Linked DNA regions of Caenorhabditis elegans. The protein of the gene in region 1 purifies or fractionates together with the protein of each later gene. This does not show direct contact. Each region holds a gene or a part of one and is shown in the gene's direction. Other genes may lie near its edges.

What was found.
Region 2: the proteins of isy-1 (region 1) and cyc-2.2 fractionate together in Caenorhabditis elegans (co-fractionation; one large-scale study listed by BioGRID). This does not show direct contact.
Region 3: the proteins of isy-1 (region 1) and iff-2 fractionate together in Caenorhabditis elegans (co-fractionation; one large-scale study listed by BioGRID). This does not show direct contact.

Annotation. Positions count from the first base shown.
Region 1 is NC_003283.11:10,999,163-11,002,464, reverse strand, and holds isy-1 (Protein isy-1), read left to right. Parts: upstream 1-1,765; 5' UTR 1,766-1,784; coding exon 1,785-1,856; intron 1,857-1,922; coding exon 1,923-1,997; intron 1,998-2,040; coding exon 2,041-2,195; intron 2,196-2,242; coding exon 2,243-2,744; 3' UTR 2,745-2,802; downstream 2,803-3,302. Other genes in the region: F53B7.4 (Low-density lipoprotein receptor domain class A), read left to right, coding at 1-1, 66-291, 335-473, 523-611, 659-758, 804-909, 1,065-1,243, 1,286-1,476; nssp-65 (Activin_recp domain-containing protein), read right to left, coding at 2,836-3,043, 3,186-3,302. UniProt on the Caenorhabditis elegans protein: Regulates the processing of the mir-60 microRNA (miRNA), which in turn negatively regulates the expression of the transcription factor zip-10. Does not affect the splicing of zip-10.
Region 2 is NC_003283.11:12,611,094-12,614,028, reverse strand, and holds cyc-2.2 (putative cytochrome c 2.2), read left to right. Parts: upstream 1-1,810; 5' UTR 1,811-1,811; coding exon 1,812-1,883; intron 1,884-1,934; coding exon 1,935-2,144; intron 2,145-2,192; coding exon 2,193-2,282; 3' UTR 2,283-2,347; downstream 2,348-2,935. Other genes in the region: cubn-1 (Cubilin homolog), read right to left, coding at 1-270, 650-1,182, 1,237-1,346, 1,390-1,521, 2,393-2,522, 2,573-2,682. UniProt on the Caenorhabditis elegans protein: Electron carrier protein. The oxidized form of the cytochrome c heme group can accept an electron from the heme group of the cytochrome c1 subunit of cytochrome reductase.
Region 3 is NC_003280.10:8,558,940-8,562,645, reverse strand, and holds iff-2 (Eukaryotic translation initiation factor 5A-2), read left to right. Parts: upstream 1-1,681; 5' UTR 1,682-1,690; coding exon 1,691-1,819; intron 1,820-1,873; exon of another isoform or gene 1,874-1,955; intron 1,956-2,405; coding exon 2,406-2,558; intron 2,559-2,634; coding exon 2,635-2,838; 3' UTR 2,839-3,065; downstream 3,066-3,706. Other genes in the region: F54C9.14 (PID domain-containing protein), read right to left, coding at 1-50, 123-218. UniProt on the Caenorhabditis elegans protein: Translation factor that promotes translation elongation and termination, particularly upon ribosome stalling at specific amino acid sequence contexts.

The DNA of each region.
Region 1 (3,302 bases):
AGTAAGATTAATGTTTGAAGTCAATTTTTAAGAAAATGAGATCATGAGAATTCGTAAGTTTTCAGAGCATACGTCGATGATATTTTAATGATAACAACTGATGATTACTTATCTGTTGGGCAAGATGAAACATCCGAAGTTTGTGAAATTGAAATTCAAAGTCTAAATGGAAATCTTATACTTGTTTCCATTACCAATTTCCTTATGTTTTCCCATAGAAGACCACGGAATCCAAATGAAATTATATTACGAAACTCTGATATGCAGTTCATTGTGGACAGCAAGCCAAAGGTTAGATTACCGTAACAGTTACGAGAAATTATTAAAATTTTAGGGTTATCAATTAATGAAAACTCCAGTATGGTTGACAATTCCAATGAATCTGAATTTCCGATCGATTTTATTGTTTTCAAATCCAAAGGAATGCTCTTCATATGAGTCTATCAGATGTCCAGAATACAGCCTATGCTACAGTAACCTCATTTTTCACACAAAAACTGTTTTACCATTACTGATTTCTAGATTGCTCCAAATACTGTTTTTCTTCGAGTCTAGAATGTGATGGATTGGATACTTGCGGAGAAGATGAATCAACTTGTGCATTTATTACTGTAAGAAATGGTTTCAGAGATTCGAAACATTTATTTTATTTTTACAGCCACGTACACCTCACACTTCATACAGATATGGTAGAGATGCTTTATCATCAAGTCAGATTATGTTAATTGGATTCTTCGCTTTAAATGGATCATTTATAGGTGGATTCACATTTTCGAAAAAAAAAGATAACTTTTGGTTTACAGTATTCTTTCTGATATTATCACTATGTTCTGCCGGATTGTTCTATCGTTGCCCATTTTATGCCAAAAACAGCAACGCGTCTCGGCACACTTTTATTCGATATCTTCGGTGAGTCAACATGTCTGAAGTAGTATTATATTCAAAATAAATATCCCATCCGACACAAATAAAACAACTTTTTATGAGCTTAGAGCGTCTGAAAGATTAACCATAAAGCTCAAGGAAATACTTCCTTATTTAGTCTTAATTCTATATTATTGTAGACAAGCAATTCCTCCTGCACTTGCTCCACCACCTTCAGTTCAAGGGGACCAACCAAAAGATGAAGGAGAAAAGACATTAACTGTTCCGTCTACACCTACAGGTCATACACGACATCGTCATTCAATTCTGAGCAGGATTAATTTTCAACCTGCTCCTGCTTTGAGTGAAATTGAACCTGGTATTTGACAAAATTAGCTACTAAAACCATAATTTTCTTTAGAAGTGGAGGACAGAGAGCAATCACCACAAGAATCAATTTGTGAACCACCTGCACATCAGCCAGAAGTATTCCTTCGACGGCAAAGTCTTCCATTTGGACTCACTGCAGTTCCAGTCTCAAATGATTTAAATTCCAAAACTGATGATAAACGAAATAGATTCGCTTCAAGAGCTATGTCTTTTCAACATTAAATGAACTTATTTGTAATAAAGCTTTTACATTTATGATTTGTTTTCAATCAGAAAGAAACACTTTAAAAATTGCTCAATGATTGAAGGGTGTAAAATATTGAATTTGAATAACCGCCAATTGCTGCACAACGATACTCCGCTATTGCGCGAAAGTGCGCTCTATTTAGAAAATTTCATTTTCAAACATTTATTTTTTCGAAACAAAAATGCTCAATTTACTTTATATTTTTGTTTGATTCTGCTTTTATATCTTTTTATTTAATTTCGCAATTAAATTTAATTGTTTCAGACTTACTCGAGCTTTAAAAATGGCCCGAAATGCGGAAAAGGCTATGACGGCGCTAGCACGATGGCGAAGAATGAAGGAGGAAGAGGAGAGGGTAAGTTTTTCTTTTCATTTTACTCTTTTTTTTTGAATATTAATATCAAGATAATTTTAATTGCAGGGTCCTATTGCCAGAAGACCCCACGATGTGAAAGATTGCAGGAATTTGTCAGATGCTGAGCGATTCAGACGAGAGGTTAGATTTTGTATGAAAACCTGTAATTTTGAACTTTATTTAGATTGTGCGAGATGCTTCGAAAAAGATCACAGCTATCCAAAATCCTGGTCTCGGTGAATTCAAGCTTCGGGACTTGAATGACGAAGTTAATCGACTGATAAAACTGAAACATGCTTGGGAACAACGTATTCGAGAGTTGGGTGGTACGGACTATCGGTAAGAAAAATGACAATTAGACATATTATTCTTATTATTATTTTCAGAAAGTATGCACAAAAAGAACTCGATGCAATAGGGAGGGAAACGGGCAATTCCCGAGGTTACAAATATTTTGGAGCTGCAAAAGATCTTCCCGGTGTACGCGAACTATTCGAAAAAAGCACAGAAGGTGAAGAACAACGACGCCATCGTGCTGATTTATTGAGAAATATCGACGCTCACTATTTTGGTTACTTGGATGACGAAGATGGTCGCTTAATTCCTTTGGAAAAACTAATTGAAGAGAAAAACATTGAACGAATCAATAAGGAGTTTGCCGAGAAACAAGCTCAAAAGCAACAAACTGCTTCCGATGCAGCACCTGAAAATATCTATAAGGTCGAAGAAGACGATGACGACGACCTGGAAACTCAAGAGTCTACAGTCATCGGAGAGGATGGACGACCAATGACTATTCGTCATGTTCTACTGCCAACTCAACAAGACATTGAAGAAATGCTTTTGGAACAAAAGAAGCAAGAACTCATGGCTAAGTATCTGGATTGATTCCTTGTTTAATTTATTTTCTTTAAATTTTTCATCTCAAATTATGAATTTTCGGTTTTATTCATTTATTTTATTAATTCATAATAGAAAATTACAAAATTAGAAAAATGAAAGAAGATAATACAAGTAAACTGAGCGGCATCGTCGTTCGTGATGATGTGTTGCAGAATTCTCTGTGCGAACACATACACGCTATCTCAGATAACGATATCCTTTTGCAACCTTCTGGATAGTATGTGTGAATAAGTGTATCGTGAGGAAGGCAAGTGAGAGCAATTGAGACTCTGTTTAGATGGTTTCTGAAAATTAAGTTTGGAACTATTCAAATATAGAAATTGATTTTAAGTCAAGGTTTTGTAAGGTTATTTATTTAAATTTATTTTTGGTTAAAAAAATAGTTTTCCATTTGGATGGAAGGTTAAAAATTTGAGATCTTCCAACCTCTGAACTCGAAGACAAGCTGCTCCTTCGCACAATGAGCATGTATTAGATATCGCACAATCTGAACCGTCAAGGCACCACATCTGATGACTGTCACGACACAGAATTACAATGACA
Region 2 (2,935 bases), 1.6 Mb from region 1:
TTCCGTCACCAACATATCCATCTGGACAGTAGCAAGTGTAGTCTCCAACAGCACTGTATCCGTCGTCAGTTACCTTGCATGTTGCTAATTTATGGCATTTGTTTTTGACACAACTATCATCTTTCACACAATTTCCTCCATCGCCGGAGTATCCAGTCGGACACGAATCACAATAATAACTGCCAAGAGTGTTATGACATTTTGAAAGCGGAGAGCATACACGAATTTCACCTTCACATTCGTTGACATCAATACAAACATTTCCATCGGCTGAATTTATTTTACTTTTTGGATTTCAATGACAGATATTCAGTACATTTTTCGACACCTTCAAACTAACAAATTCTGATTTTTCACATTGTTAAGCCGAAGTTTATAAGACTTTCTCTCCTCATTCTCGGAACTGAGAAATCCAAACAAGTATTTTCACAAAAAAAGCTTGAAATTTGTAAGTGTTATACAGGGTAGGCACTTGTTCAGGCGTACGTGTCTACCTCATGCCTACCACACACCTATTGACCTATTTAAATGCCTACTTACCTATTTTATGAAAACGTTTTGGATACGAGTATATATTTTCTAGACAAGAATTAAACCAAAAAAATTATTTTATTTTTGATTTGATTGAACATATATAATTCTAACTTACTTTTATATCCTTTTGGACATCCGGAACACACAAACGATCCAGGCAAATTAATACAATCAACTCCTGGATGACATGGATTTGATTCGCATTCATTGACATCAACACACGTTGGATTGTTCTTATCACTTGAAACCTTGAAACCCCAATCACAAATACACTTGTACGTAGTTGTATCGGAAGATGACTGACCAGTTGGATCCACAATACTCTCAATACAATGCCCATGTGGACCACACAATTCAAAAGTTTTCGAGCAAGCGGACATATGATACTGACAAAGAGATCCATGATATCCGGATTGGCACTGACATTCAAATCCGCCACGGTTATTGATACATGTTCCATTGTTCTGACATCCAGCAGTTGTACCATTGTATACTGAGCATTCATCGATGTCAGCTTCACAAGTTGTACCGGTGAAATGTGGAGGACAAAGACAAGTGAATTTGGCGCCAAAAGATGGGATACATGTGCCTCCATTACTACATTTGTTCGGATCGCACGCGTTTATTGCTATCAATTTGTTGATTCCTCTTGAAAGTTAACAATTTATAAAAAATAGTCAAACCTAACTTGTTGTGTCTTACATGATTTGACGTGTCATTTTCACCAATAATCCCCGTCTCCTCATGTCTCTGGCCATTTTATCAGTTTTCCACTTCTTCAAGATATTCACTTCGAGTGTCATATTTCGAAGCTAAAAATTGATTTCAAAAAGAGAAAAAAATGTATGGAATTACCGCTACTAGATAATGTTTTGCAGAATTTAAAACCACTCTCATTGCAGAAGTCTGCGTGTCCTGGCGACTTTTCAAAGTGGTGAACATTTGAGAAGTGTTCTCAATACGTCCAACAAGTTGCTTGAAAGATGCCTGAAAATTATTTTGAATATTGAAAATTGTAATTCGAGTTAATTTTCAAAAACTTCCATAGTTCAAACATTTTCAAACAATTATTCATTTTGAAAAGTTTTATAAAAATAATAGAACTTAATTATCAAAATTTACGTGACCGTTTCTCAGGAAAGTGATTCTTTTTAAATAGTTGTCAAAAAGTAAATTTTTGCGTGATCTCCGACTATCTAATTCCAACTCTTACTCGTAATCCACGTTTCGTTCCTTTTTCTAATCTGACCGTCTATGTTTTAATCAGTTCTTGAAACATGGGCAAGAAGAAGTCTGATACGGCATCCGGTGGAGCTATTCCAGAAGGAGACAATGAGAAAGGAAAGAAGGTTAGTTAAATTTTTCATTATAGTGTTCCCAGAAAACCTATTGATTTTCAGATCTTCAAACAACGTTGCGAGCAATGTCACGTTGTCAACTCATTGCAAACAAAGACTGGACCAACATTGAACGGAGTGATTGGAAGACAATCCGGACAAGTTGCTGGATTTGACTACTCGGCTGCCAACAAGAATAAAGGAGTTGTATGGGACAGACAAACACTTTTCGACTATTTGGCTGATCCGAAAAAGTACATCCCCGGAACTAAGGTAGGATTTTCTAGGAAGTGCGATGGAGTATTAATAAGAAATTTTCAGATGGTCTTCGCTGGTTTGAAGAAAGCTGACGAACGAGCTGATCTCATCAAATTTATTGAAGTGGAAGCTGCCAAGAAACCATCGGCATAAGCCTCTACTAAATAAGAAATCTGTGTGTTAAGCAAAGCAACGTATCAAAAATAAATGTTTTGTAGAAGCTCGTTCATTTTTTTTTTGGATAATTTCAGCAGTCTACCTACAATATCTGGAAGTTTGGAAACATCTGTTTCGTCCACATATATTCTTCCATTTCCAGTCGTTTTGAACGTTATATTTTTATCCTTTCCGGCATGCAACCACACATTTCCATCAACCATTAGAATACGTGATCTGAAATGTTTTCGGACGTAATTTTGAAAAAAAATTAAAGGATTCGTTACCTTGTTTCATATGAATCTTCGATGTGTATTTCTTCATAGTCAATTGAAGATACATGATTTAATAAGCCGAATAGTATTAATGAAAGAAATAACTGTAAGTTAGGTATCATTTGTTGCGAAAATGAAATGAAATTAATGGAGTTGCACGGTGGAGGGTGAATAATTTGTTTATGTCATTGATACCTGATTGGAAATTGAGACGATCCATTTGTTTATAACAGATTATGTAAGAGAACACCTGCCAATGTTTAGGTTATGAGTAACTAGTGGGCCGTTGAATTTGTGTTCGGTTTTAATGAAAAAACTGTTAAGCTGGCTGAAACTCAGGTATCAAAATATGATGGTGTTGAATACTCTCCAAAT
Region 3 (3,706 bases), on another chromosome or scaffold:
GGATCACAAGATGCATCAGCAAGATAATTGTTCACACAATTATACGACATCTGAACAAGAATCCATTTGATTTTTGAATTTTCAGTTTGCAAAATAAACGTTTCAAAATCCGTCTAACTCACAGTGAAAGAAGTAGGATCTTCAATTTTTCGAGTTGCCACAGCTCCATTTTTTGTAAAAATCACTTTTTGTGAATTAGTCTTCATACAAGTTGGCATTTTTAGAAATCGTAAGTACAGAAATAAATTTTTAAAAAACGAACCAGAAGCGGTTGAGCAAAACGTGAAAATTTAAATAGGATAATTTAATATTTTTCAAATTTTTGGTAAATTGCCAAATTTTCCAAAAAAAAAAACGCAATTGAAGTATAAAGCTCGTAGAAAATATGTTTTTGTCAATTTCCTAAAATATGTCCTAAAATATCCTAAAACTAAATAAATCTAAATTTTTCAGCAGCTTCAGTAGAGACTGCAACATCTAATGAGATCTTCGTTGGTGACTACAATGCTCATAATCAGTTCAATCCAAGTTTTTTTAAAACTTAAGCAGGAGCTGAGGCAACAAAAACAGTTGTGTAAAAGTCATGAATATTTAGGTTGTCGGGGGGTTCAATCCATAACTAACTTACCATGTTTTGATATACTTCCTTTCCCCTCAAACTACACGAATGTATTTTATGATAGTTTTTGTAGTGTAATAACTTCTAATAACTTGTCTAATAACTTGTATCTTACTTGTTTCTGCTTTTATTATTAATACATTATAATAAATTCAAAAACAAATTTGTTCAACTTTTAAGTAGGGAAAAATTGAATAATTACCAAATTGAATAGACACACTAGTTGTCAATAGATTAGTAGGTCTGGAACAAATTGGTAAACTGTACATATAGTAAACCATATATAATAAATATATTTACTAACCAGCTCATGAATGTAATTTTAATTCAATGTTTAAAATTAATAAAACTTATCTAAATTGTTTTCATGCCCGTTTTTTAGTATACTCACTTACTACAACTCTTATCTTATCTACTACAATAACCTACAACTTAACTCTTATTTGTCTCCATTTTCCCGCTCCTCTGTCTCGATATGTTCCGTTTTCTCCAAAACTGCAAAATTGTATGTTTGTCAGTGTCTCCACCATTACACCACCGTCTCAACCCTGCAAGACCGGTGCATACACGCTCCGTCGACGGCCACGCGGTTGGTTATTGCCTGCGTAGCGACCCACACACAGTGATGGGATACCGAGTTCAACCGTATTTACGTAAGACCTTCGCAACTGTTTAGGCAACTTTTGAAAGTCTTTTTTTGAAAAGTTTCAGACTGTTTTCTTGTGATTTTCAAGACAAAACTGTGTAAGTATTAGGGAATGCTTGGTTTTTGTCTTAGATATAGTATCTACCTACAATATGCTAAGTTGATATGATAAATTATTGATTGATGATGTTTTTTCTATTTGTCATCATTTTTAGGTTATTATGGTTTAAATCAATTTAGATACATTCAATTTGCTGACTTTTTTGAAATGGCTGTAAAAACTAGTAGATTTATCAAATTGGATCTAGGTCCCCATTTCTTAAGGACTATGTATTTGACGCTTTACTATATTTTTTCTGGTTTTTATTTATTCTTAAATATTGTTATCATTTAAAAAATTAACTTGTGCGTTGTAGGGTACCAATATGTCTGACGATCATCACGACGACGAGCACTTCCACACCGGAGACTCTGGAGCTGCTGCCACATTCCCAAAGCAGTGCTCTGCTCTCCGTAAGAACGAGCATGTCATGATCAAGGGACGCCCATGCAAGGTTCGCTTTGTTTTAAAATGTTGAAAAATTAAATAAACTTAGAAGATGTTTTGTGAAAAAGTGCGATGAATGACTTGGATAAGTTTCGGCTGAAACTTGGTGATGCCAACTTTTTAAAACTGCTGAGCACTTTTTCTCAAACAAAAACCCAATAAATATGAAAGAACTATATATATAGTTATATAAACTATTCACTCATAGTTTTTTACAAAAACTGAAAGCTTACCAAATTGATAATTAATTCCAAAACAAAAAACTCCTGAAATTATTTAGCTCACAAAATACCCAGATAAGATGATATGATTTAATCCTAAAAACTGTTAGTCTAAACATTAGATAGGCCAGATATTTATATTCTCAGAGGCGAGTGAAGAGGCGGATCAGAGACACCCCGCCATGCTTTTACCGGAAGGAAATTCTAAGACAGTTAATTTGAATTTTAGTTCTAATTTAAATATTAACATTTTAAAATTGCAAAAAATATTTGAGGAATAAAAAAAAAGTATACATACAATCGTAGCACCATGCTTCTAGAATGTGGACAAATCAACTTTGCGTAACCATAAAAGTTATCTGAAAGTTGTAGATCGTCGAAATGTCGACCTCCAAGACCGGAAAGCACGGTCACGCTAAGGTCCACATGGTCGCCATCGACATCTTCACCAGCAAGAAGCTTGAAGATATCTGTCCATCCACCCACAACATGGATGTTCCAGTCGTCAAGCGTCGTGAGTACTTGGTAGGTTTTCCAAAATTTCATATTGCTAAACTATCACTAAATTTTTATTCAATTTTCAATATGCTTGTTCTTTCAGTTGATGGCCATCGATGACGGATATTGCTCCCTCATGGACCCAGAGTCCTGCGAGCAAAAGGATGACCTCAAGCTTCCCGATACTGAGCTCGGACAACAGATCCGTGATGCTTATGAGAAGGACGAGGGATCCGTTTTGGTCCAAGTTGTCTCTGCTATCGGAGAAGAGGCTATCCTCGGATGGAAGGTCAGCACCAAGGAATAAATCGTCAAAGGAACCCCCTGCCAACTGCTCATGAATCCTGATTCCCCCGTTCCACCCCGCAAAACTTTCACTGTATGAATGGTGCTGCTTGACATTCCATTCCAGAATTCAAGTATAACCCATCATCAAGTGCTCGTGTTATTTTTCTTGTTTTCATTAACTTTTTTTTTTGCTTTTTTTCAAAACATAACTGAGAATTTAATTTCAAATAAATTATCAGAAAATTTTGGTTTCCATTTTATTTAAAAACTATCAATCCACCTCCATGAATTCACTCGTTTTTTCTTTTGCCTTCTTGTTCCATCATCATCCGTAGGTAATTTGTTTCTGTTCCATCATCTCACACACTCTCTCTTATACACGCACAACAATTGACTAAATTTGATTTATAAATGAAGTTGCACGGAGAGTTGCTTTTCGATTCACTTTCATTTGATTCTGAATCTAGGAATAGTTGAAGAGAAAAGAAGCGATTTCATTTCCGGTACTGGGAGATATCTGACCAGAATCTTAGTCAGATGCTTCTTTTGTTTTTCGATTGACTAGGAAATATGTTACTAAAGAATAATTCCTAGAGTTTTTAAGTTTTTCAGTTCTAAACGCTTTCCTATAAACGCAATCCTGGAAATGTTTAATGACTCGTAAAGCAACCGTTTTTGACAAGAGACACCTGTGATTTATACGTTTTTCAAGCTTCATCAAAATAGTGCCTAGAATTTCCATTCGTTCTTTCAACTTTCAGTCTGAAAAGAAACATATCGATGTATCTTGTTAGGTTATTTTGGCTCACTTTTATAAAAATATCTTCACTTACTGGAACGGTCATATTGTTTTTTTGCGTACTTATACCTTTCTCTGCTTGACTTCA